4 linked regions of the Drosophila melanogaster genome follow. The gene in region 4 interacts genetically with the main gene of each other region. Each region holds a gene or a part of one and is shown on either strand. Other genes may lie near its edges.

Region 1 (5,595 bases), about 12 Mb from region 4:
TCGTATTAAAGAGCTTGTGTCAACTTAGATGTCTTTATAAATTAAGCAAGTTTCCAATGAAGCGTTCAATCTACATAGCCTTCTAACTTATTAGTGTGAAATAAAAAGACCTTTAAAGAACAACTTAGTGGAAGATCTACGAGAAAAGAAGTATTATAATGAGGCGTATAAACACAATGAAGTCTGATATCTTTATCTTCGATCTATAGCCGATTGAAATTGAAATTTGATAAAAGTGAAAAGCAGCGCAGTAGCAAGAGGACAGTGAAGGCAGCCTAATTGAGACGAGTCGAACTTGAAGTGAACGAGCAAACAAAGCCCGCAGAAGGCGACCACAATGGCTCTCGACGGCGTTGAGCTCTCGAGTTGAAGTGTCGCCAAAAAATAGACAGGGAAGCAACGAGCGAGATCTTTTCAAGATCTCTTTCTCAACAAAAGACCCGGATCTCTGGGAGAGTAGGTATGGGATTGGGACTGGGATTGGGCCTGAGACTGATCGGATAAGGAGGAGCAGTACTTACCATCCTTCGGTGGACTGGCGCAGGGCGGGGCGTAGCTGCCCAGATGGTAGCCGGAGTAGGAGTTCTGGTGCATTGGCGGGAACGGGTAGCCGAGGGCGCTGCGCGGACTGGGGAAGCCGGAATCCTGGCCGCCCTGCGGTCCGAAATGCTGATAGGTGCTCCGGATGCCGCCGTACCTGGAATGCCGCAAATGCACGGAAAATAATCAATACGGGGCTGTAATATAGCTGTGGCAGTTGTGGAAGAAGTAGTGGAAGTAATGGAAGTGGCGTACACCGGCTGTGAATGTGAATGAATCGTGCCGGGGACAAAACTTTTCCTACTTGCGTGTTTTGTCTACACTTTTCACTATTCACTATTAAATTCAAACGTCGCCGAGCATAGGACGAGCGTTCGGTCGGGAAAATATCTAAAAGTGGGCCCAAAATGTTTCATGTTTAATGCAAGAAGCGTCGAAACCAAAACTTTTTCTCTCACAACAAAAAATTAGGCTGGCGGAGAGGAAGGAAATTTTTGCCATGACTTCATTTACAAAAACCAGAACCGAAACCAAAAACAAAACCAAAACCTATCCAAAGCCCGAACTGGATGCGGCTTAATATATCAAAGAAAAATCAATACGAGTGTCAGAGTCGCTGTGTTTTAGTTTCGGTTTGGTCCGCAGTTCCGTTTGCAGTCCCGCTCGCTCGCGGTAAATATTTTGTTAACACTTTGCGGGCGAAACAGTTGAGCAAGTTCCCATGCATTATGTTCCGAGCGAACTGCATGAAATATTCAATGCTCTCCTGGCCCCTCAAACACGGAAACGGAAGCGGGCCGAAAGCAGCAGAAACCGCAACGGACAGCGGCCAACGGACAACGGAGAACGGACAACGGACAGCGGACAGCGAACAGCGAACAACATGGCAGCCACTCCGGGGACGGAGAAAAGTCGTGGCCAGGAACAACTCCCGAGGGCTGGTCGGCGCAGCCAAGCATTCCAAGTCCCGTCCCAGCCCAAGAGCCCAACACGCACAAATGACAGAGCAGTGGAAACCGCAAGGCTCAAAACCAAGAATGCAATAAAATATGTATAATGAAAAATCGAATCGTGCGTTGGGAAAACAATTTGCGGCTGCAAACAGTTCGCCGAGTGAGCGGTAACAGTAAACAGACCACCGAGCCCGACTTATTGCTACCCCATGAGGAACGTGTTGTTGGATAGGAACAGAACCCTCCGGATCAGACGCTTATTTAGAACACGGACCGGGAGTAAACTACACTTAATTGAATTTATTTTTGGCTTCCGCTGCCGGCCAGCCAGGCACCAGCATGAACTGTAAGCCGGAAAGTGCAGCTGAAGTGATTTTCTTAATCAAAACTAATAGTATAGCGAGACCCCAACGCGAAATCGATCCCGAAAATAGTATCATAAAGATGGAAAGCTGACGGCAACTTTCATCGATTCAGTCTTAGTCGATTTGGCTGAGGGCCTAGAGAAGGCTAAATGGCGAATTGGCAAATTGAAATTTAAAATTGTGATTTCGAATTTATACTACATTTGTTACTTTAGAAGTACATTTTTATGGAAGTCAAAATAATTTTTAACTTTGGATTACATTGACGAATTCATAAATCTACAATTGGTTGCTTTCATTTTTTAAGACAACTAATAATTATACAAGTTTTTTAATAGTAAAATTTATGTATCGATCGAAATAAGACTATTGGCTATTGTAATGTAATCAGTAATTAAGACCCTAAAAAGTTATATGAACTACTTAGACAATATACTCTTGAGTTAACCTGACTTTATTTAACTGCTTGCTTTTACCAACTGTTATTTATTATTAAAAATTGAATTTGTTTATTGTAATGTCAATGTACTATATTATCTATTTATGCAATTATGCAGCTTGTAGTCCTATGCCAACTAACTTTTTCCCTTGAAATGAATGAAATGATTTTAAAGACCAAATGGTTTTATGGTACGTATAGCGCTCTTTAGATTCATTAAAAAGATTCATATTCGAGTTTTGGGAACGCCCTGGCCACAAACTCCTTTTTTCTCGGGTGTGTCAACTGCTCCGCACAGATTGAGATTGAGTTCCGATAGGTTTGGTTTTGGCAGGGCTGAAGTCTGGAGGGGATCGAGTCTTTTCGCCGAAACACTTTCTGCAATCCTCCCGGTGACTCCACTCCACTGATCTTGGGGACACTCACCCGGCGGCGGCGTGCTGCTGCAGCTCCACGAAGGCGGACTTTCCCGGGATGTTAATGCCGGGCGTGACGCTGGCCGCCGTGTTCCCGCCGTCCATGTACTTGGGCGTGTGCGGGGCGTCGGGGGCGTCCATGCCCGACTGGGGGGTGCTGGGAGGCCCCTCGTAGGGGCTCCCTAGGTCCGTGAAATTGAGCGTGTTGGCGCCTATTGAGGCCACTTTATCAAGAATTTTGACGGCTGTTCAGGGGGATGCGCGCGGGAAGGAAGTTCTCAGAGATCCGATGGCAATGATCAGCTATACTTGCACAGTAGGAGTGTGTGGCTTGCGTATCTAAGGTTTTTGTAGGACACAATGTCTTGGCTTCAGTTCAGTTCGGCGACTTGATTTGGCGGAACTGTTGAGCGCGTAAATCCTTTCAGATGGCGAGGAGGCACTTTTCTCAGCACTGACACTCAACTTGTTAGCAACTCAACTCACTCGAAATTGCTTTCTTGTATCACTTCGATTTCTGGCTGTGCATATTCTTTGTAGATTTTCACGATTTTCAACTCCGTTTTGCGAATCAATCAAATCAATTCATATCAAATCAGATCAGATCAGATCACTACAAATCACTTTATAGTCCGCGACGGATCACTTAGCTCGACGCAGAAACGCAAGGCGCAAAACGCTACGACGGATCGACGACGGCAATTCAACGGCGAGAACAGCGGCGACGACTGCACACGAACAAAGTGCGTATACGACTAGGTGAGGTTTTCGCGGCGCGGTTGCGCGAGACTTCGACTCGCTGCGCTGTCGCTTTGCGGCCGTGCCGCTTTGCCGCTCTGTAGCAGTGGTGTGCGAGCGGCGCAGATGTCATCCATCGCCGTGCGTCGGAGCGGGACGGCTGCTGAGGCCCAAGCCGCTGGCAGTGACTCTCGCCGAGCGTCGCCAATCGGGTGGTTTGCAACCGGTTTTCTCGGTGGTGTCTCTGTATGGTGGTGCAGAAACCGCACCAATACTATAAATTTCCCCGTTCCGGGTGCACGGGGGTGGGGCTGGGCTCTGGGACCCCGTTTTTGTGCCGCTCAACTCGTCAACTTTGTCTAGGTCTAGGGCCCGCATCGAGATTGAGGCGTGGCCTGTCGCCCCGCGTCCCCACGGATTTGGGGAACTTACGGCGTGTATATGCAAATTCCAGGGGGAACTGCCCGTGGAAAGTGCAAATATTTTGACGTTTTAAATAATGTTGATTAAATGCAAAGGTCTCAATTATTAAATTGATTGTTGAACCTATAATTTGTCTTCTTATTTAGCCGCTGCTCCTTTCGGGTCTTATTTTCGGATCAATCGAAACTGTGGCACACGCATTTCCACGGGTAATCAACAGTTGCGGACAACAGACGAATTAACTTAATGATTTGTTTACGTTTTACAATCGGTGGGCTTGCTTGTAAGGAAAAAACGCTACGCACACAAACAACATAGCGTGGTATATATGACAGGTCTGCTATCATTTTCTAATGGAACCTTTAATTTGAAAATCCTTTCTAGGGAGTCTTAAAGCCTCCTTGGAGTTGGTACTTGTGGCGCCACCTAGTGGCCGCCTTTGGCAGCGACAAACCAGTCTATCGGGCCAACCTGCTCACCTGTCAAACACACACACACACACCCTCGCAGCCGCACTCGTACACACACATACTACCTGCGCACCCAGCACGCCCCCTGCTGAGAGCAGAAACTCCCTCGCCACGCCCCCTTGAGCGTTTCGAGAGAGGGCAGAGAGCTCGAGTAGGCCCAATTCAAAATGGCGTCCTTTCGGCCACATAATGTCGCTTTGTGGCTAGGGCCAAGCGACACGGACCGTTTGCTCGAGCGGACTTTTTCATTCACAAGACAAAGTCACCGAGCGGAGAGAACAGCGGAATTTCCACCTTTGTCCGCCTAGCCTAACTGGCAGTTGAAGCGGCGGCAAAGCGGTCTCCATTCCACCCCTTTCCCCTCTCCCAACAGCAGGCAGTTGTCACCTGAGAAGGATTTCCGCTGAAAGTGGGAAAATATGCATATGCATGAGTCGGAGCGGCGCTATTAACCAGAACCAGAGTGCCACAAAAATCGAATTAAGTTTGTTTATAAAAGTAAATATAAATCGAGCATCCAGCGGTAATTGAGCGCCTGATCCGACTGAAATGCTAATCCCCTCGTCCGGATTGGATCGGATCGGATCGGCTGTGGAGCCCGCCGTTCCGAGTTATGACCTGGTCGGCTGCGCTGCACTAATTTAAGGTAGCACTGCAAATGCACGTAATTGTTGCAATTACTTAATGAAATATTTATTAAATGCAAATTATGATTAGCCCGGGCTAGCCACTGCACTGCAGCTACTGTTCCTTTTCCCAGTGAGGCGCCTGGGCTGCGCTGTTTGTGCTTGACTAGGCCAATGGTAATACGGGTACCCCTCTTGGGCCGCGATTAATTGGCCATAGATCAAAATCAAATTACAGCCACACGAGACACGTGCAAATATGTCAAGCGAACACGTTTGCAAGTCAATCAGTCAGGCGAATTAATTTATCAACTGTCGCAGATGAGCTTGCGACATCGATAAATCAGTAGATATAGGACATCTGATCTATAAGTTGACTTGGAAGAGTATTATTCAAAACCCGAACACCATTAGTGCTGATTACTTACAAAATATTATAACGTCAGTTTTGAAATTTAACGATCCAAACAAACAGAAGTTTTGTATTAGTATGGATTTATTAAAATAATTTCCACAACCCCTCTTATTAGGAACATTCAAATAGATTAAGGTAATGAACAATTATCTCGCCAACATTCCTATTGACCTAGTCCGCTGGCCTCTCGGCCTTTCTTAGCCATTATGT
Region 2 (5,471 bases), on a different chromosome or scaffold from region 4:
GTGCTGCAGATGATTCCAATTCTAGGCCAATTAAATTGGGATTTCGCCCGCACATGGCTCTTCATGACCTTTTGCCCCCCCCCGTCCCGCACACAACCCCTGGCGCATCCTTATCTCTATCCTTCGCTTCAACTTGAGTGTCAATTGTGGTGCCTGTGCAACACTGAGAACCAAGCCAAAAACTATGGCAAAAAAAAATCAAACTCTGATGCCCAAACATAGTTTTTCCAACGATATTACTCATACGCAGTGTTATTCGGTTGCACAGTAGTAGTGCTTTCAAACGCAGTTGAAATGTTTTCAGTGTTATTACAGCATAACAGATTCAATGCAAATATGTTCAACAAAAGCGGGAAAGAGACGGAAAGAGACTGGAATCTAACCTCAAGTTTGATACTATACCCAAAACACACACACACACACATACGTTTCGGGTGTTTGGGATGCGGCTAATACCTTGTTAATTATTTCACACGCACACACATGCATACACCACCTCAAATTCCCTTGGGTGGACCTTAACTGTGGGTTGATTTCAAGGCTGTGAACTCTTTTTATCGTAATACATGTGACCCATATCTATCATAAGAAAAATCAAGTACTGGCATCGTGTTTAAAAACTCTCTTCTTCAATTTAGTTTAGCTTTCCTTCTAAACTAGCAGAGCGACGTGACTGATCATGTTCTGTCGAAGTGCGACCCTGCGAGTTTTTAAGTTAAGGTCCACCCTTGTGTTTGGCCATACAAAAGCTCCTGTTTTCTAACGTGTCACGTGTTTGGCTTGTTTGCATTTGAGTTTGTGTGTGCTTGTTAGCCGTTTAACATTTCTGACACGCCAAGCGCAGCCACTGAAACTGTAACGATAACGGGAGAAGAGGAAGCACCAGCGGGATACGCCGAACAAGAGGAATAGGGACAAGAAGAACCAAAACAATGGGAAGAATGGAAAGAGGTAGGGGGAGAGGACCCAAGCGAAACGAAACGAAAAGGATTATGCAACTGCCACTGACAGCGGGCAACACAATTTGCACCCAGGGGTCCAATAGAAAGGGACGGGGTCACAGAGCGAGACGCGGAGCGAGCGGGAGAGAGCCATAGGGGACTAGAATGAGATGGAGCACGGCGGTAGAGCAGAACTTTTGCAAATTATACAACAGGCAAGACCCACAAAACAGACAACTGCAAACCAACCGCCCGTCTCGAAATGGATGGACATATGGACAGAGAGAGATGAGAGGCGGATACGTTGCTGAAAAAAAGAAAAGATGGGCGAGCAAAAAAAAAAGTGTACTGCAAACAGTGCTGCCAAAAATCCAAAAGTAGCTAAGAGCTAATCCAGACAAAACTGTCAAATGAGAAAAACAAGCTGTCAAATCTTGGGCAAAAATGTCTCAATAAATGGGAACGGCTTAAAAAACTGCTTAAATATACAATGATAAGGCAACAATGGCAGGGAAATTAACTTTTCTTAATAGGAAAGTATTTAGTTATAGTGATAATTAGGTTCATCTTAAGCTTGAGACTATAGGTAATATGAGGGAAACCAACAAGTTGCTAGTGAAAATCAATGGCTCCTTCGCCATATGCCACCAAAATGCACTCCATGATGCAACTGGAGCACTAATCAGGCCGTCTATCGACCCTTTTGAGTAACCAGAGTCGGTAAAGAAAAAAAAAACAAGCTGAATTAGCCGCATTACTATGGGACGCTTGCTGTTTCCATTGCGCTGCGCTGCTTGGTCTATTTGACCCAAATCCTATGCAATATTATCGTTTTGCTGTCGCTGTTGCTGCAATTCCCTTTGTTGCTACTTTGTGCTCACTGCTTGCTTGTCAAGTGAAAATAATTTGCAACGCGAGGGGAGGGACAAGAAAATCGATAGGCGATAGGCAATGGACGATAGACAACTGCACAGATAAGAACTACTTTTCAAGGATCTTTCTTTCCGGCTCATCAACTACTTTCTAACAATCTTGGCACAAAGTTCGCAACTTTGTTTGCGTTTAAAGTTTCAGAATCAATAGACGATGATGATGAGCTTGGTTAAGGCTCTTGCTTATAACGAACTTGTGAAAAACTTATTTAGCACACTGACCTATATAATAAAGTATTTCACAAAAATGCACTTATCTAGCGGCAATTATTTAGATATTTTTAAAGGCAAAAACTTACGAGCGACGCGAATAGCGTCTAAGATATACATATAGGATATTTTCATCGATTTAATCGATACATTATCGATTACTCACCTAACAGCGCTTGAAACAAGCGAGATTTAAATATGCGTATAACGCGTTCGATTGCAATACGCAGCGCCCGATCCTGCGGCTCCGAAAGTCTCGCGTGGTAGTCCTCGAGCAGCTCGAGAGCCCGATGAGCTTCTGAAATATATAGAGAAAAGAATATGGTTAGTACAAATGATCTTCGATTGTTTTATTATGAAATCAACCCAAAAGACCAAGGGATTCTGCCTGCCCATTTTTCCCCACTGGATTAGTGCCTACTCTGTATGTCCGCAATGCGCTCCTCCTCATCCTGACTGATCGCCAGACCCGCCTGGCCGAAGATCGTTGACCAGAAGCCCCTCTCGGAACCCTGTTCCGAACCACTTTCCCCAGCCGCATCCTGTACGTGGGATCTCTGCTTGGGCTTTGGCTTCGCCTTGCTCTTGGCCTTCAACTGCAGCTCCGATTGCGATTTCTCGAGACTTTCCCGCTCGAGAGTCTCGATCATGGTGCGAAATCGGCTCAGTTCCATGCGCAAACCCTCGGCACTGTGGCGACTCGACGAAGAGACGGAGAGTCCGGAAATGCCGGAGAGAAGGCGACAACGGGCTGCGCCCGAGGATGACGACGACGGACCCTCCCACTCGTCGCGCGAAGCATCGCTCTCGGACTTCTCAAAGTAGCCAGACTCCACATCCGGTGTTCGGACCATCGAAGTGGAGGACAGCATGTGTCCGTACTCGAGAAGATCCTGGGCGGAATAGAAGCATTCAACGGACTCGCGGACACTATCGCGCAGGGATGTTGGACACTTCGGAGGCTCGGGATCCGGTTCGGTTACGGTCTCCATTTGGTGTTCCATCACCTCCAGTTGCGAATCCCCATCCATATCGCTAGCTTTGGCAGCTACTGCCACCGGATTGGTATCATCGATTTCTTGGCGCACTTCTATGGCTTCCGCCGACGGCTGTACCAAGACCACCAAAGGTGGCTGGTCTTGGTCGCAGCGAATCTGTGCCTTCTTCTGCGGCAGCAGGCACTCCTCCTCCTCGGGCTCCTCCTCATCGTCCGCCGGAGAGGAATCCTCCGCCGGTTCATCATCGTCGTGGAATGTCTTGTCATCGCTACTGAGCAGTCCCTCGTTGGGATCGCTGCTCTTCTCCCGCTCCGAGTCCGTATCCGAATCCATTACCAGGACCAGCCAAGAAGACACCTCTCTTCGCGCCCAAGTGCCGCACTCAACTGGCTAGACTTTTGAGCTCTATTATGGTTCTATAGTTTGGTGGCTGCTACCGCCGATAAATCAATAAAGATTGACGCTTTTTAAACATTTTTCACCGCTTGTCGGACGCCAGTTATTAACGCTTTTTTTTTTTTGTTTTTTTGTTTCCATGAAGGGTGTGTGCCTAAAATTCCCCATCCTAAATGCTTTAACTTGAAAATCTGAATAGCAACGAAGTTGTGTGTTGCTGCGCATAGTTTGATGTCCCCATGCGAAGAGGTCAGGGGTCAAGTGCCATACCGTCGCTGGCTTGTCATTCGTGCCGCGTTTGCCAAAAAATTAAACACATAATTTATTATTATAATCGAGTCGCATTATGGTCCCAAAACACACGCACACACACACACATACAGAGCACACAAACCAAACTATACATACTCGTATCTAAATGAACATTGTATCTGTGGCCGCAGTTTGATGTCCTCAGCACGCGTCAAACGCCGACGTTGACCTTCACTGACCATTTGCGAGGCTGCTGGCAGCGCTTTTCCCCGGTTTTCCCATTTTCCGTCTGCTGCGGCTCCTCTCTTTCCCCCTCCCCCTTCCCCCTTCCGCACCATTTCATTTCATCTCTTCTGTTGGCCATTTGAGTTGCCCAAATATGATTTGTATGTGACATAATCAAATAAAATTCTTTGTCTGCATTAATTTAGCTGGTTTTTTATGTATTTTTTTTTTTTTTTTTTGTTGCATAGCTTCCAATGCACAGTTGGATACATTGTTTGTTTGGCCAAAAGTGCCATCTCGTGTGTAATTGGAAGCAGCTTTGCTGGCTAACTTTGCGCAGCACGTAAAAGTTAAATGATCTACTAAAATTACAATTGAAAAACTAATGCCAACTTTCTATATACTATATGGTGCTTAAAACTTTCACCAGCAAATCAATGCAGTTTTGCATAGACATAGCTTTTTTAATAGGTTCTAACTTTATTTCACAATAGTTAAGGTTATTTTTCTAAATTTGTTATGCATAGAATTATGTAAAATGTGATCTTAAACCATTGTGTTAAGTTTTAAACTACTTTTTCAATTGCTGAAAACTGGCAAACAGTTTTCACTGTCCACCATTCATAAGGTCCATTCAATTGAATGGATTTCCACGTAATGCCAAAGACAGATATGTAGAACAGAAAATAAAAAAAGAAGAAGAAGGAGGGAAAGGTGGGAAAGGTGGGCAGTGAATAAAAGTGCAATTTTTCGCTTACCTTGCTTTTTCACTGGCATTCTGTGAGCGGTGTTTCTGCTACTATTTATGGTGGTGCTGGTGGAAATGGCAGCGGAAATGGCGGTGGTGCAGCAGCTTTGATTGTGGTTCAACGCCGCCGAACTGGGAAAAGCGTGGGTCGCAATTTTGAGAATTTACTGGAGTCGCTTTCGAGTGGAAATGTGCGGAAAAATCGCTTTGGCTTTTCCTTGAGTTCTCCTCCTTTTAGTTTCGCCAGCACATCTGTATATATATCTGATATATATGTATATATATATATATACTATTCGATGGTGTTTTATGTACAAATATTGTTTTGTTAGATACTTTGGCTTTCGAACAAAGTTCGAGATTTGTTGTTTTTTTTTTAATTTTGCGCTTTCAGTTTGCTAGTTTATTTTTTAATTTCTTTATATATTTTACTTTTCGTTTTCTTGGGGCAGCTTTGTGGTTACATTGACGTGTGCGTTTTCTCTCGATTTCTTTGCGATTTTCACATTTCACAGCTCAATGGCTCCTCACATTCACATTCGGTTCTATAGCATTTATGTTGCACTTTATATTGCAATGCGACTATCATCGAAATGTCGTACTTTCCTCGTCACAACACAACAACACCAACACAAAAAAAAACTCAGATCGTTTATTTGCTTACTTCGCGTTCACTTGATTTGATTCTATATTGCATTCACCATCTGAAAGTCGAAAGAAAAACAAGTGGAGAAGGTTTGAGGAACACGGCTCCTTTGGATTTTTTCTC
Region 3 (5,655 bases), on a different chromosome or scaffold from region 4:
GTAAAAAGTGAAATATTTTAAAGACGAAAGTTGTATTATTTTTTAGAAATATATTTCATATATTTAATAAATATATCACTTCGCTTTTGTGATTTGTCAGTATAATAATCCTTTGGAATATATAATCTTTTGGTAAATATATATATTATTTCATTATCTGATTATTGACTAGTATAGACCACAGTTGCTAGTATTCCTACTTATGTCTATCATGGCTACATATATAGTGTTTAATCATGTTTTCCAGATAACAAGTGTTCGATTGCCAAGAAACCATCCCATTTCTTAGCCATTCATGGCTTCTTATCTATAAGACGTTTATTATAGATTCGGATTCTGCATGACTAGACTTTTGAAACTTAAAAATATCCATGTGATTTTTTAAATGTAATAAAACCAGAAACATAAAGGCGTCAAATTAATTGTTATGCATTTCGTTTATTTAAAAATAAAGATAATCAAGCTTAGTAGTAAGCAACGCCGGAGTTGTCGCGGATCCAGTCCAGCTGGTTGGTAACACGGGTGAATCCGGAGGGCAGGCCAGCGGTGCAACCGTTGCCGGAAACCCAGGAGGTGACACCCACCAGGCGGCCACCGTCGTGGAGAACCAGGGGGCCACCGGAGTCACCGGAGCAGGTGGACTTTCCGCCGGAGGTGGACACACAGAGGATGCCATCGGGCTGGGTGCCGTAGGTGCGGGAGCATTCCGAGTTGCTAATGATCTGCAGGTCGACGCACTCCATCCAATCGGGCTGGGATCCGGCGGTGGTCAGTCCCCAACCGCAGGCGACGGCCCAATAGTTGTCGTACATGTTGTAGCGATCGTTGAAGCTGGGCAGCTCCACCTTGTTAACCATGTGCCAGAAGTCCACGTGGGGGGTGCGGATCAAGGCGATGTCGTTGCCGTTCTGGTTGGGCCAGTTGTGGTTCTGGATGAAGTCGCCGCTGCCGACGGTGTGGGTGAACTGGGCGTTGGTGCGCCAGGTGGCTCCGTAGTAGATGGTCACCTGGGAGGCGCCGTTGGTGCAGTGAGCAGCAGTCAGGACCCAATCGTGGGCGATGATAGAACCACCGCACCACCAGCCGCCGTTGCCGCTGAAGCCCAGACCCACGGTGTAGGGAGCCTTGCCCTCGTAGGCTGGATATCCGTTCACAATGCGGCCATTGATCTTGGTGTCCTTGGGCAGGTCCTTGGGATGAACCTGCTGGACAGTCTCGGCGGAGACAGCGGCCAAAGCCAGAGCCAGTACAACGAACACTTTCATGGTGATTGGATCAATCGTGGTCTGCGCCAGACTTCCATCCGTTTTTATTGCGCCCCTTATCGCTGTCTGGAGTAGCCCCCACTCGGCGTTATCCTATCTCTAAGAAATTCGCCCTCTGATACCAATGGAAATTAATTGATAGCACGTCTAAGAACATCTTGATAGGCAAAAAAAATAATAACTCGCTTTTAGGAAAAATTCTAAGCTGATTATCTTCGCTTACAACCGACGTAGGCAATATAAGAAAACAGAAATGATTTTAATTTAATTTAAGGACTAAATAATTTATACATAATATATACATAATAATGTATACATAGAGTATGTAAAATGTAAAAATAATTTAAAATAGGCGCCCAATGTAAGATGTAAGGATTGAAAAATGGCTCACCTGGTCACACAGAGCCATGCATTTATTGTTTATATATTCCGCCAAATTTTATCAATTGATGTCGCAGCATGTCCACTTGCAGTTCATCCGAGATAGCGGAGAAGAAGCGCATTGCGCTGGCCAAATTGCAGGCCAAGAAATCCCAGCTGCTGGCCAGCGCACCCGCAACCAATGGAAAATCAACAACGTCTGCAACAGGTGCGACGCAACATGCGAATAATGGAAAATCAAATCCCAATCAACCGCAGGCCAAATCCCCATTGAATTTCTACCGATCACCGACGGGGGAGCAGAAGAAGATCAACAGGAGCGGTCCCACGCCCGGTGACAACAAGAGCTCATCCTTTCTGAACGCTCTGAAAGCAATCAAACAGACATCCAACCGGGAATTGTCCCGCGGAGCAGCACATCCTTACCAGCGGCCAAATGGAGGGAACGAAAGAAACAAGCCCACTCTTTCACTGAGTTCGGATAAGGAGAAACCGGTGGCTGTGCTACTCGGAAACTCCATCACGTGTAATCTCTACTTGATCAGCACACATCGGTTTGCTGCCCAAACCTCAGGATATCACGAACAGCTCGTGACCGTGTTCAAGAACATGCCCACCAAGTGCTACGATGGCCAAACCCGTATCTGGAGTTTCGATCTGTCGGACTACCAATCCCTGAAAACTCATGCAGCGGATCTAAAGCCATATGTTCACATGAATGGCATTCCGAAGAAGGTGCTGGATCTCTGCGGCCAGCCGCCAGTAGTTCCGGAAAGAAGTGTTTTAGCTTCCATAGAACCGAAGCTGGCGGACCAGCTAATGCCCTTCCAACAGGATGGGGTATGGTAAGCATTGCTTGTATGCTATGTACTTCCAAAAGCGCTAAATTTATCATATGTTTAGCTTTGCCATAGCCCAAAAGGGACGCATTATGATCTGTGATGAAATGGGCCTGGGCAAAACCTATCAGGCCTTGGCCGTAGCCGACTATTTCAAGGATGATTGGCCCTTGCTTGTCTGCACCACCGCTTCTACGAGAGACAGTTGGGCGAAACACATAATGGATCTACTGCCGAAGGTGCCCATCCACTATGTCCAGGTGCTGAACAACAATCAGCTATATGTGGGTGAGGCCAAGGTGCTAATCACCAGCTACAATATGATGGAGCGACACGAAGATAAGCTGATGCAGCGGAAGTTTGGTTTCATCATCTTCGACGAGTCGCACACGCTGAAGAACAGCAAGGCCAAGTGCACGACAACGGCCAAAAGACTCACGGATCAGGCGAAGCGGGTGGTTTTGCTATCCGGCACACCGGCTCTCTCCCGGCCATTGGAACTTTTTACGCAACTGCAAATGATTGATGGCAAATTCATGAATTTCATGGAGTTCAGTATGTCAAGAATGTCTGTTTACCTTAGAACGCGCTTATATCGATTAACACATTCACAGCTACTCGTTATTGTGATGGAAAGCAGTCAACTTTTGGTTGGGATGCCAATGGTCAATCGAATTTGGAGGAACTGAAGGTCATACTTCACCTTAAATATATGCTGAGGCGAACGAAAGTGGAGGTGCTGCCTCAACTCGCTGAGAAGAACCGGTGGGTTGTTCACATTGTTGTATATCTATAATATATTTTCTAACATTTCGAACATTCTTCCATCCGCAGTGAGACTGTCGTCCTGGATCCCGCCCTAGTGTGGACCAATGCGGAGACCAAGGAAACCTTGGATGCGTTTAACAAAGAGCTTAAAACCGCTAAAGGCAGGGCAACGGAAGAGATCTTACTCCGTTTCTATGCACGCACTGCCGAAGTGAAAACTCGAGCGGTCTGGTAATAAAAAAAATCATTAAAACCATATAAACCATCTGAAGTTAATGTATTATCCTGCATTATAGCGCCTACCTAAAAACCTTAGTTAAGGAGCAGAAAAAGTTCATTATCTTTGCCCACCATCGTGTCATGATGGACGCCATTAGCGACTTCCTCAGTGGATTGAAAGTACACTACATACGTATTGATGGACAAACGCGTAGCGATCACAGGTCGGATTCTGTGGACACGTTCCAAAAGAAGAGCAGTTGTAAGGTGGCCCTGCTCTCCCTAAAAGCCTGCAATTCAGGAATAACGCTAACTGCAGCTGAGATCATAGTGTTCGCTGAACTGGACTGGAATCCTAGCGTAAGCTTCGCTTATATGTTAACTTGGAGAACGCTTAAATTTAGTTTTATTTTATGTGCAGACTCTTGCCCAGGCGGAGAGCCGTGCCCATCGCATTGGTCAGACAAAACCGGTGATTTGTCGCTATCTGATTGCTCACAATACGGCAGACGATATAATCTGGAACATGCTGAAAAATAAGCAAGAGGTGCTTAGTAAAGTGGGCATCTTTGCCGAAAATCTTCAGAAAGCAACACACACAGCAGCACCCACTTCAGTAAGATACATTTTGAATACTTTGAAAAATGTATTTTTCGCTAACTCAACTTTTTTTTTAGTCCCACAAGATCGAGGAGTACTTCTCGCCCTCCACGTCCACCTCCCTTGAACCGGAAAGGAATAGCATAAAACAATATTTTTCAACTATTCCAGCTAAAGAGCCGCCTGAGCAAAATAATAATACAGAAATGACCAAAGTAAACAAGGCTGAGTCGGATATCGCGGCGTTCTTTAACGATGATGATGATGAGGCTTTTTTGGAATTAGATATTTAGATTGTGTAATGGAATTTAATCCTAGAATGTTTATTGAGTTAATCGTAATAAATTGTATTTGAGAATGTTATAGCATTGAATGAAACTTGTTGAACGCACTTCTGCGCATGCTCCACGTTTGCAGAACTCTTTTCAGATAGCCGGTTTCATGTGACCTGGCAACAGGCAAACAAACACTCAAGTAAACCTTTTCACTTGTATCAAATAAATAAATACACAGCAAGTTAAGTTTTGTACAATAATAGCTAAATAATATGGATACTACGCAGGAATCTGATCTGCTGGGCGAAGAGGAGGAGTTGGAGAATGAGAACGACGTATCCTTTCCGCGTGATATCGTCAGTGTAGAGTGAGTACGGAATTGGAAGTTGATAACTTTTTCTTGATTGGAAAACTTCTGCTGCAGACACTCCTTTGGTTACGATTGTAAGAAGCTGTTTAATTTGGTCCTTGTGGATTCAGACACGCTGGTTTTTGCCTCTGGAAACTTCCTCAACTACTTTAGCATTTCGCGCCAGGAGATTTCCTTTCAGGAAACGGTCTACGGCTGCGGAGTGGGCTTTATAACGGTGAGCTTTTTAGTACCTTTGAGTACCTTTGTATGATCTAATGGTACTCCATTGCCAGAAAAACGAGCATCCTGACTACACCAACCTCTTTACGGTGGGCGAGAACGGAGCTCGTCCCACTGTCTTTATCTACGAGTATCCATCGCTTAATGTCCGTGTTAAGCTACTGAATGCAGCTCAGAATTGTTTTACGGCGGGCTCCTACAACAAGACGGGGGAATTGTTCGCCTCGCAGGCTGGCTATCCGGATTTCATCATAACTATCTGGCGTTGGGAGAACGCTGAGGTTGTCCTGCGTGCCAAGTCCTTTCAGAGCGACATTCTGTTCGTGCACTTTTCGGAGCACAATCCCATCCTGCTCTGCTCTTCCGGGCTTAGCCACATCAAGTTCTGGAAGATGGCCAACACCTTTACCGGCCTGAAGCTGAAAGGAGATCTGGGTCGCTTTGGCAAGACGGACTTCAGCGATATCTATGCCATGTACATGCTGCAGGATGAGAATGTGATCTCTGGCAGCGATTGGGGCAACATGCTGCTCTGGCAGGCGGGGCTCATAAAGTTCGAGATCTGCCGGAAGGGTCGAAAACCGTGCCACACCAAACCGATTACGAGGATAACCATGAAGAACGGTGAGGTGACGACGGTGGGCATGGACGGTTATGTGCGCGTTTGGTACTGGGAAACGGTCGACTTGGCCGATCCGCCAGAGGACGATTTGTTT
Region 4 (5,277 bases):
CATTGCAGGTAAATAGTGGGAGGCACCTCACCAGGACCACACTGATGCAGCATGGCGGGATGGTATTCCAGGGATAAGCTAATTGATATAAACGAAAAGTAAAGCAAAAAGTTTATTAGTAAAATTAGTTTTACACGTTTAAGCATTGTTAGCATTTAGCTGAAACCTACCTTATAAGTTCCGTGGTTGTGAAGAACTCCGGTTCATCAGTCGTTTGTTCATCCACCAAATCGTGCTGCTCCTTGAAATCTGCCAGCTCCTTGCACTCCCTTTGATAGAGTCCCGGCACTAGCTTATAGATTAGCGATCGCAACGTATCATCCGATTTCAGATTCAATTCATTGATTTCCTTGCCTCCGCTGGCTTTACATTCCGGACAATATACCGCTCGCAGCAGGTGCTTTAGTATGCAACTCCGGCAATCTGTTGAGAAATGATAGATCAAACCGAATAACAATATGTTTAATGATCAAGGAAAATGTGTATTTTAGCTTAAGAACTACCAGAAGCTGTGATTACATTGTTTAGTAATGATCTTAAAGTTTAAGATCTAACTTGGGCAGTCAATATTGTAAATCATGACAACCTTAAATTAACTTTATAAATGAACTTTAAAATGGTAAAAGTGATCAAACAAATAATGATCAAATTACATGCAATTAATACAAGATATTGGTTTTATGCGTATATTAAAGGTACTCTTTGGAATCTAAGACTACTTACAGGTATGATAACAGTAATCCACAGTGGTTGGATCGATCATATAACCGCGACAAAGTCGGCACGTTATCAGATCATGAAACTGCCGGACATCCCGAGAAGCTGGGGATGCGGCATCCATAGCGGCGTTTGATTCCATTGTGTTGTGCGTGTTTTGCAGGTGCATCTTTCTGCCTATTCTATCTGCCTCAATACTTACTCCTAGCAGCCTCTTTCAATGGGGTCCTGGAAGAGGAACAAGGATGGGGGTTAGGACTCGGCATATCCATGTTTGGCATGTGCTCGCTCAACAAGTGACACTAGTGTGACAACTGATGATGGCTAATCAACTGTTAGGGTCTTTCCATAATTATGACGAGGGCACAAAGGAAACGGGGTAACAGGGGCCAAGTAAAACCTAGGAAAAAGACACACAACTGTGAGAACCAACAGCCAGCACACAATCCCATCAACAAGCACCATCACCATCATCGTCATCATCATTGTTGTCGACATTTGTGGTTGTCGCTCGTCAACAAAAAAGCCACAGAGCCAGATATATCAACCGTGTATCTGTATCTTGTCCCAAAAGATATGGCAACGTCAGCACACTCGCACAATACAGAAAACTTTAGACTAGTAAGGCAGCCATCCATATCCATGAATCGGAACAATGTGCTTGCAGCTCACAAAAATATGAATAAAAAAATAGAATAAAAAACAAAACAGAACACAAAAGTAGCAACTTTGTGGGCGGGTGGAAAGCAGGGGGGTCTGCGGGCACTGGGAGGTGGGGTCTTTGGTCTTTCGTACGCCCTTCGTGCCACAGAGGGCACCTACCGAGAGAAGCCGAGAAGAGCCGAGAGAAGCGCACAGAAAGCGATGTGCACTCGACGGTGTACTTGAAGCTAGTTTTAGCTTGGCGCCCCCCTTTTCTGCCCCATCGCTTCAGACCCCTCTTTATCTACCATAAAACTACGAAAATTACGCTTTTGTGCCCTGCACACCAGTGGAAACTGAATTTTCATCATTATGGCGATGCCCGGACGATGATTGCGAGTTGATGGCAGGCAGCCGAGAGTTCAGGGCAAAGTTCAGGGCATAGTGGATCAGCAGGTTGTTCGGATAGCTCCTAGGAAACCAAGGAAAACTTCAAGTTACTCTTGGGACTATTGTTGAAGTACTTGTGTGTAACAATTAGTGTACCTAAGATTTTGAAATGTAAGTCAATATTCGAAAACCCCTTTTAAAAAGTTCCATAAAAGCGTATAACTCAATACAATATTCACTACATATATATTTCTATATATTTTTGACATTATATTAATTACCAACATAAATAATAAAAAGAAATGCCTTTAATCGGATCAACAAGATCTGCATTACAAAGTGACTACTTGGGGTACAACTGTTCAACTGTAGAAAGTACAGTAAAACCATCTAATTATCATCAGTATGATAAATAATTGTGCGCAAAGCAATTTCTTTTAGCTGAATGCTTTTTCTTCATTTTCATTAAAGATTCCCGCATTTGCATAATTAGAAACAAAATTGCGTGTAAATGATGATTTCTTCTGGAATAGGCCATCTTTATTCCCCTCAATTCAGTCAGTCGGCAAGTTGAAGTTTGTTGAATTGTGACTGAATTTGGCACTGCATTATTCATTATTTAACTAAGTATTCTTCAAATTTAAGCACTTTTAATCCACAGCCACCCCATCTAAACCGCCCATCGCATAGCGCAACCAAAAGTCGCATCGCTTCGCCCATTTTTTGTCTCCGTTGCCTTTCGATTATTTTCGTTTGCCGCTCACGCGAAAATGGCACGCAAAGAGGAGGGTGGCATAGTTGGGTAAAGGGGAGGCAGAAGAACGGAGGCTGTGCTAGCAAAACAAAAAGCGAACAAGACAAAAACAAAAGACCGAGCGGCTTGAACTAAAGTTGGGCAGAAAAGTGGGTGGTTGGCGTTCGTGTGCCTACGCCCACTCAGCTGGAAAATGACAATCCCACGTTTGATGACGCTCTTAAATTGATGACGTCGCTGGCGAGCGCTTTTCTTGATTTTCCTTAGCCCGCTTTCTGTTTATACGCCGCAATTTCGTAAAAGGCGCGCACTTGCACACCAACCCACACACACACACATGGTCACAGCTTGAAAGTGTCGGCAATCCAATAACAACAATAACAGTTCGACCGGCACGGGCGCCCGCAGGGTGGTTGAACACACACACACTCGCCACTTCTCTCCCACTCTCTATCGCTCACACACACACACACGCAACAAGCTGGCTGTCCGAAAAATGAACTCACAAAAAAGACGAAAACATGGACGAAAATCTACGTAAAATCGCAACAACTCTGGAGGTACGATTTTTCCGCGGCCGCGTCCAGAGTTCAACTGAAATCCAATTCGAGAAATCCCAACTGCCACTTGCGCGCTCAATTCGCCGTTAGGCGAGAGCGCACGACACACACAAAATTGTATCTATTCGCCGCGGCGAGAGAGACGACAAACAAACTTTCTACTTTTGCGCGGGCGCATTTTCGCCGACTGTCGACGTTTTCGCCGCACGACGAAAATTCCAATACGCGGCGAGAATAACACGCACGCACACCAGGGCATTTGTGTTTACAAAATTTTCACCCATACATGTGAGAGGGAAAATTTCATGTTCCCTTTCCTTTTTGGTTTTTATTTCCCGCATACGTACTCAAAGCAATTGCGTTGTTACTTGAAGAGTTTTCCTCTGTAGCATATTCCCTTTGGATTTTCCATTAAAACAAATCCATTCGCCGACACCGAACACACACGCTTTCGATTACTCCACTGCCTTTTCGTCTTCTTCTTCTGTCACTTCAGCTGCTGTTATCGATTTCTCGTACACGCACAGATTTTCGCTGCTTCTCTGTCACTCACTCTCGCGCTCTCTCCCTCTCGCACTCGTTTGAGCTCGCGCCACGACAAAAATATATTCTCCGTTCCGTTTCACAAAGTGCACGGCACGAAAAGTTTCCACAGACTGATTCAAATTAGACCTGCTGGCGCTGTCGCTGCCCAAAATCGCTCGGCTCGCATGAGAGAGCCGCACGAGTGAAACACGAGAGAACCACCACTAACCTATCACATCGCTGCACGAGCGAGATGACAAGAGGGGGGCGCTCGGCATCAGCAGGCTGTCTGCGTCGCACTCTCACGAATTGAGGTTACTCTGTAACTGTGTGGGTGGCGTCGTTTCTAATTGAATCCAACTGTCAAATGAGAGAGATTAACGCACATATTCGTATGTATGTGCGTGCAGTGTGCCCGTGTATTGGCCTTGGCGTTTATAATTAACACAAAAATGCCCGTTTTCGCAGATTTTTTCTCCTTTTTTTGTTGGTCTGCCGTTGGCATTTCATTTTGTTGAAATCCGCGACGAACCTGTTTTTGGCCATATGCAAAGTGCGTTCTCTCGCATCATTTGCCGCCTCTTGATTTGCGATGCAGAAAAGGGGGAAAACGGCAAAACAGAATGGAAAATTTGCATTTCAAAGGACTTTGGCATTGTCCTTGAATAATTTTTGGCGCGTTCTACACAAAGTGATTTCATGCTCGTCTTTAGCTTAGAGCGGGGATCTAAAAACTTCTAGCGATAAAAGATAATGTCAATTTCGCAAATGACGCCGCATTTTTCACGCAATCTCTAAGTGTTGGGTTTTTTTTTTATAATGCATTGTTATGTGGTCTATATGCACATGTTAACTTCAGTTTTTACCGTATGCCAAAAAGAGCGTTACTGGAAGCAGGGTATAAGCAGCAGCAGAAGCAGTATACCCCTTTGTGCATACAGACTAAGAAATAGATCCTTTCAAAGAGCTGCTTCCTATTTATCATGGAAGACTGTCTGAAGCCCACGTTTGCTCTAGAAGAGTGATGTAGTATTAATAAAAACAGTTTAAAAATAAAATATACCCTATATTTTGAGGAGGCACACCGATGGGCACTCGATTAATAGATATGCACGTAGGAAATTACATTAGCTCTACATAGCGGCGATTTGTAAGATATTCATTTTTTAAATACATTTTCCATAACTTTTTAACGTAATAAAGAGCGGAAACCACATTTTATAGAACACTGACAGCTTAATCATCGCGAAATACGTCATTTTTATCCGATTGTCGATGAATTAATTGCATGCACATTTTGAAGAAATGCTATACACTTATGGGAAATCATAATTTGTTCTTGCGAAAACAGATAAATGTATGTATAATTGCAAACCTTTTAAAAACCAGGTTAGGATAGAGTTATCTTACACAGAGAAGTTTTCCAATCATTCAAGGAATGTGGTCCTTACAATACAAATTATACACTAGGACATTAACGATGCAGTGGCTATTTAGTGTCTATATCCGATTTTGTATTTAATAAAACTATCAACCCTGTTAAATTGGGTAAATACTTATATTTCAGTTCATTTGTTAAAATGTCGTGTTAGAATACCCTTCGTTTTATATTTTACCGAAAACATTTCAAAGAACAAAACAAGAGAGAATAGTTTTTTGGTGGTAGAATTTTACAAGACATACATATAA

Evidence for each region.
Region 1: of Su(z)2 (region 4) and Dll, changing one enhances a phenotype caused by changing the other (phenotypic enhancement), as found in Drosophila melanogaster (one study listed by BioGRID).
Region 2: of Su(z)2 (region 4) and dlg1, changing one enhances a phenotype caused by changing the other (phenotypic enhancement), as found in Drosophila melanogaster (one study listed by BioGRID).
Region 3: of Su(z)2 (region 4) and Marcal1, changing one suppresses a phenotype caused by changing the other (phenotypic suppression), as found in Drosophila melanogaster (one study listed by BioGRID).

What each region holds. Positions count from the first base shown.
Region 1 is NT_033778.4:24,812,696-24,818,290, reverse strand, and holds the start of Dll (Distal-less), read right to left. Parts: upstream 3,470-5,595; 5' UTR 2,855-3,469; coding exon 2,724-2,854; intron 698-2,723; coding exon 522-697; intron 1-521. UniProt on the Drosophila melanogaster protein: Transcription factor that plays a role in larval and adult appendage development. Specifies the identity of ventral appendages (including legs and antennae) and suppresses dorsal appendage development. Involved in patterning the distal-proximal limb axis.
Region 2 is NC_004354.4:11,373,752-11,379,222, reverse strand, and holds the start of dlg1 (discs large 1), read right to left. Parts: upstream 3,461-5,471; 5' UTR 3,415-3,460; coding exon 2,505-3,414; intron 2,382-2,504; coding exon 2,250-2,381; intron 1-2,249. UniProt on the Drosophila melanogaster protein: During embryonic development, some isoforms are essential for proper neuronal differentiation and organization. Required for cell polarity; maintenance of apicobasal polarity.
Region 3 is NT_033779.5:4,953,859-4,959,513, forward strand, and holds Marcal1 (Marcal1), read left to right. Parts: upstream 1-1,650; 5' UTR 1,651-1,724; coding exon 1,725-2,491; intron 2,492-2,549; coding exon 2,550-3,040; intron 3,041-3,099; coding exon 3,100-3,250; intron 3,251-3,319; coding exon 3,320-3,484; intron 3,485-3,549; coding exon 3,550-3,832; intron 3,833-3,893; coding exon 3,894-4,088; intron 4,089-4,149; coding exon 4,150-4,365; 3' UTR 4,366-4,434; downstream 4,435-5,655. Other genes in the region: Jon25Bi (jonah 25Bi), read right to left, coding at 465-1,265; CG34124 (uncharacterized protein), read left to right, coding at 4,620-4,714, 4,772-4,934, 4,993-5,655. UniProt on the Drosophila melanogaster protein: ATP-dependent annealing helicase that catalyzes the rewinding of the stably unwound DNA.
Region 4 is NT_033778.4:12,994,945-13,000,221, reverse strand, and holds the start of Su(z)2 (suppressor of zeste 2), read right to left. Parts: upstream 3,722-5,277; 5' UTR 3,411-3,721; intron 3,100-3,410; exon of another isoform or gene 3,010-3,099; intron 946-3,009; 5' UTR 887-945; coding exon 724-886; intron 424-723; coding exon 171-423; intron 79-170; coding exon 1-78. UniProt on the Drosophila melanogaster protein: Regulates expression of the homeotic selector genes by influencing higher-order chromatin structure through interaction with other proteins.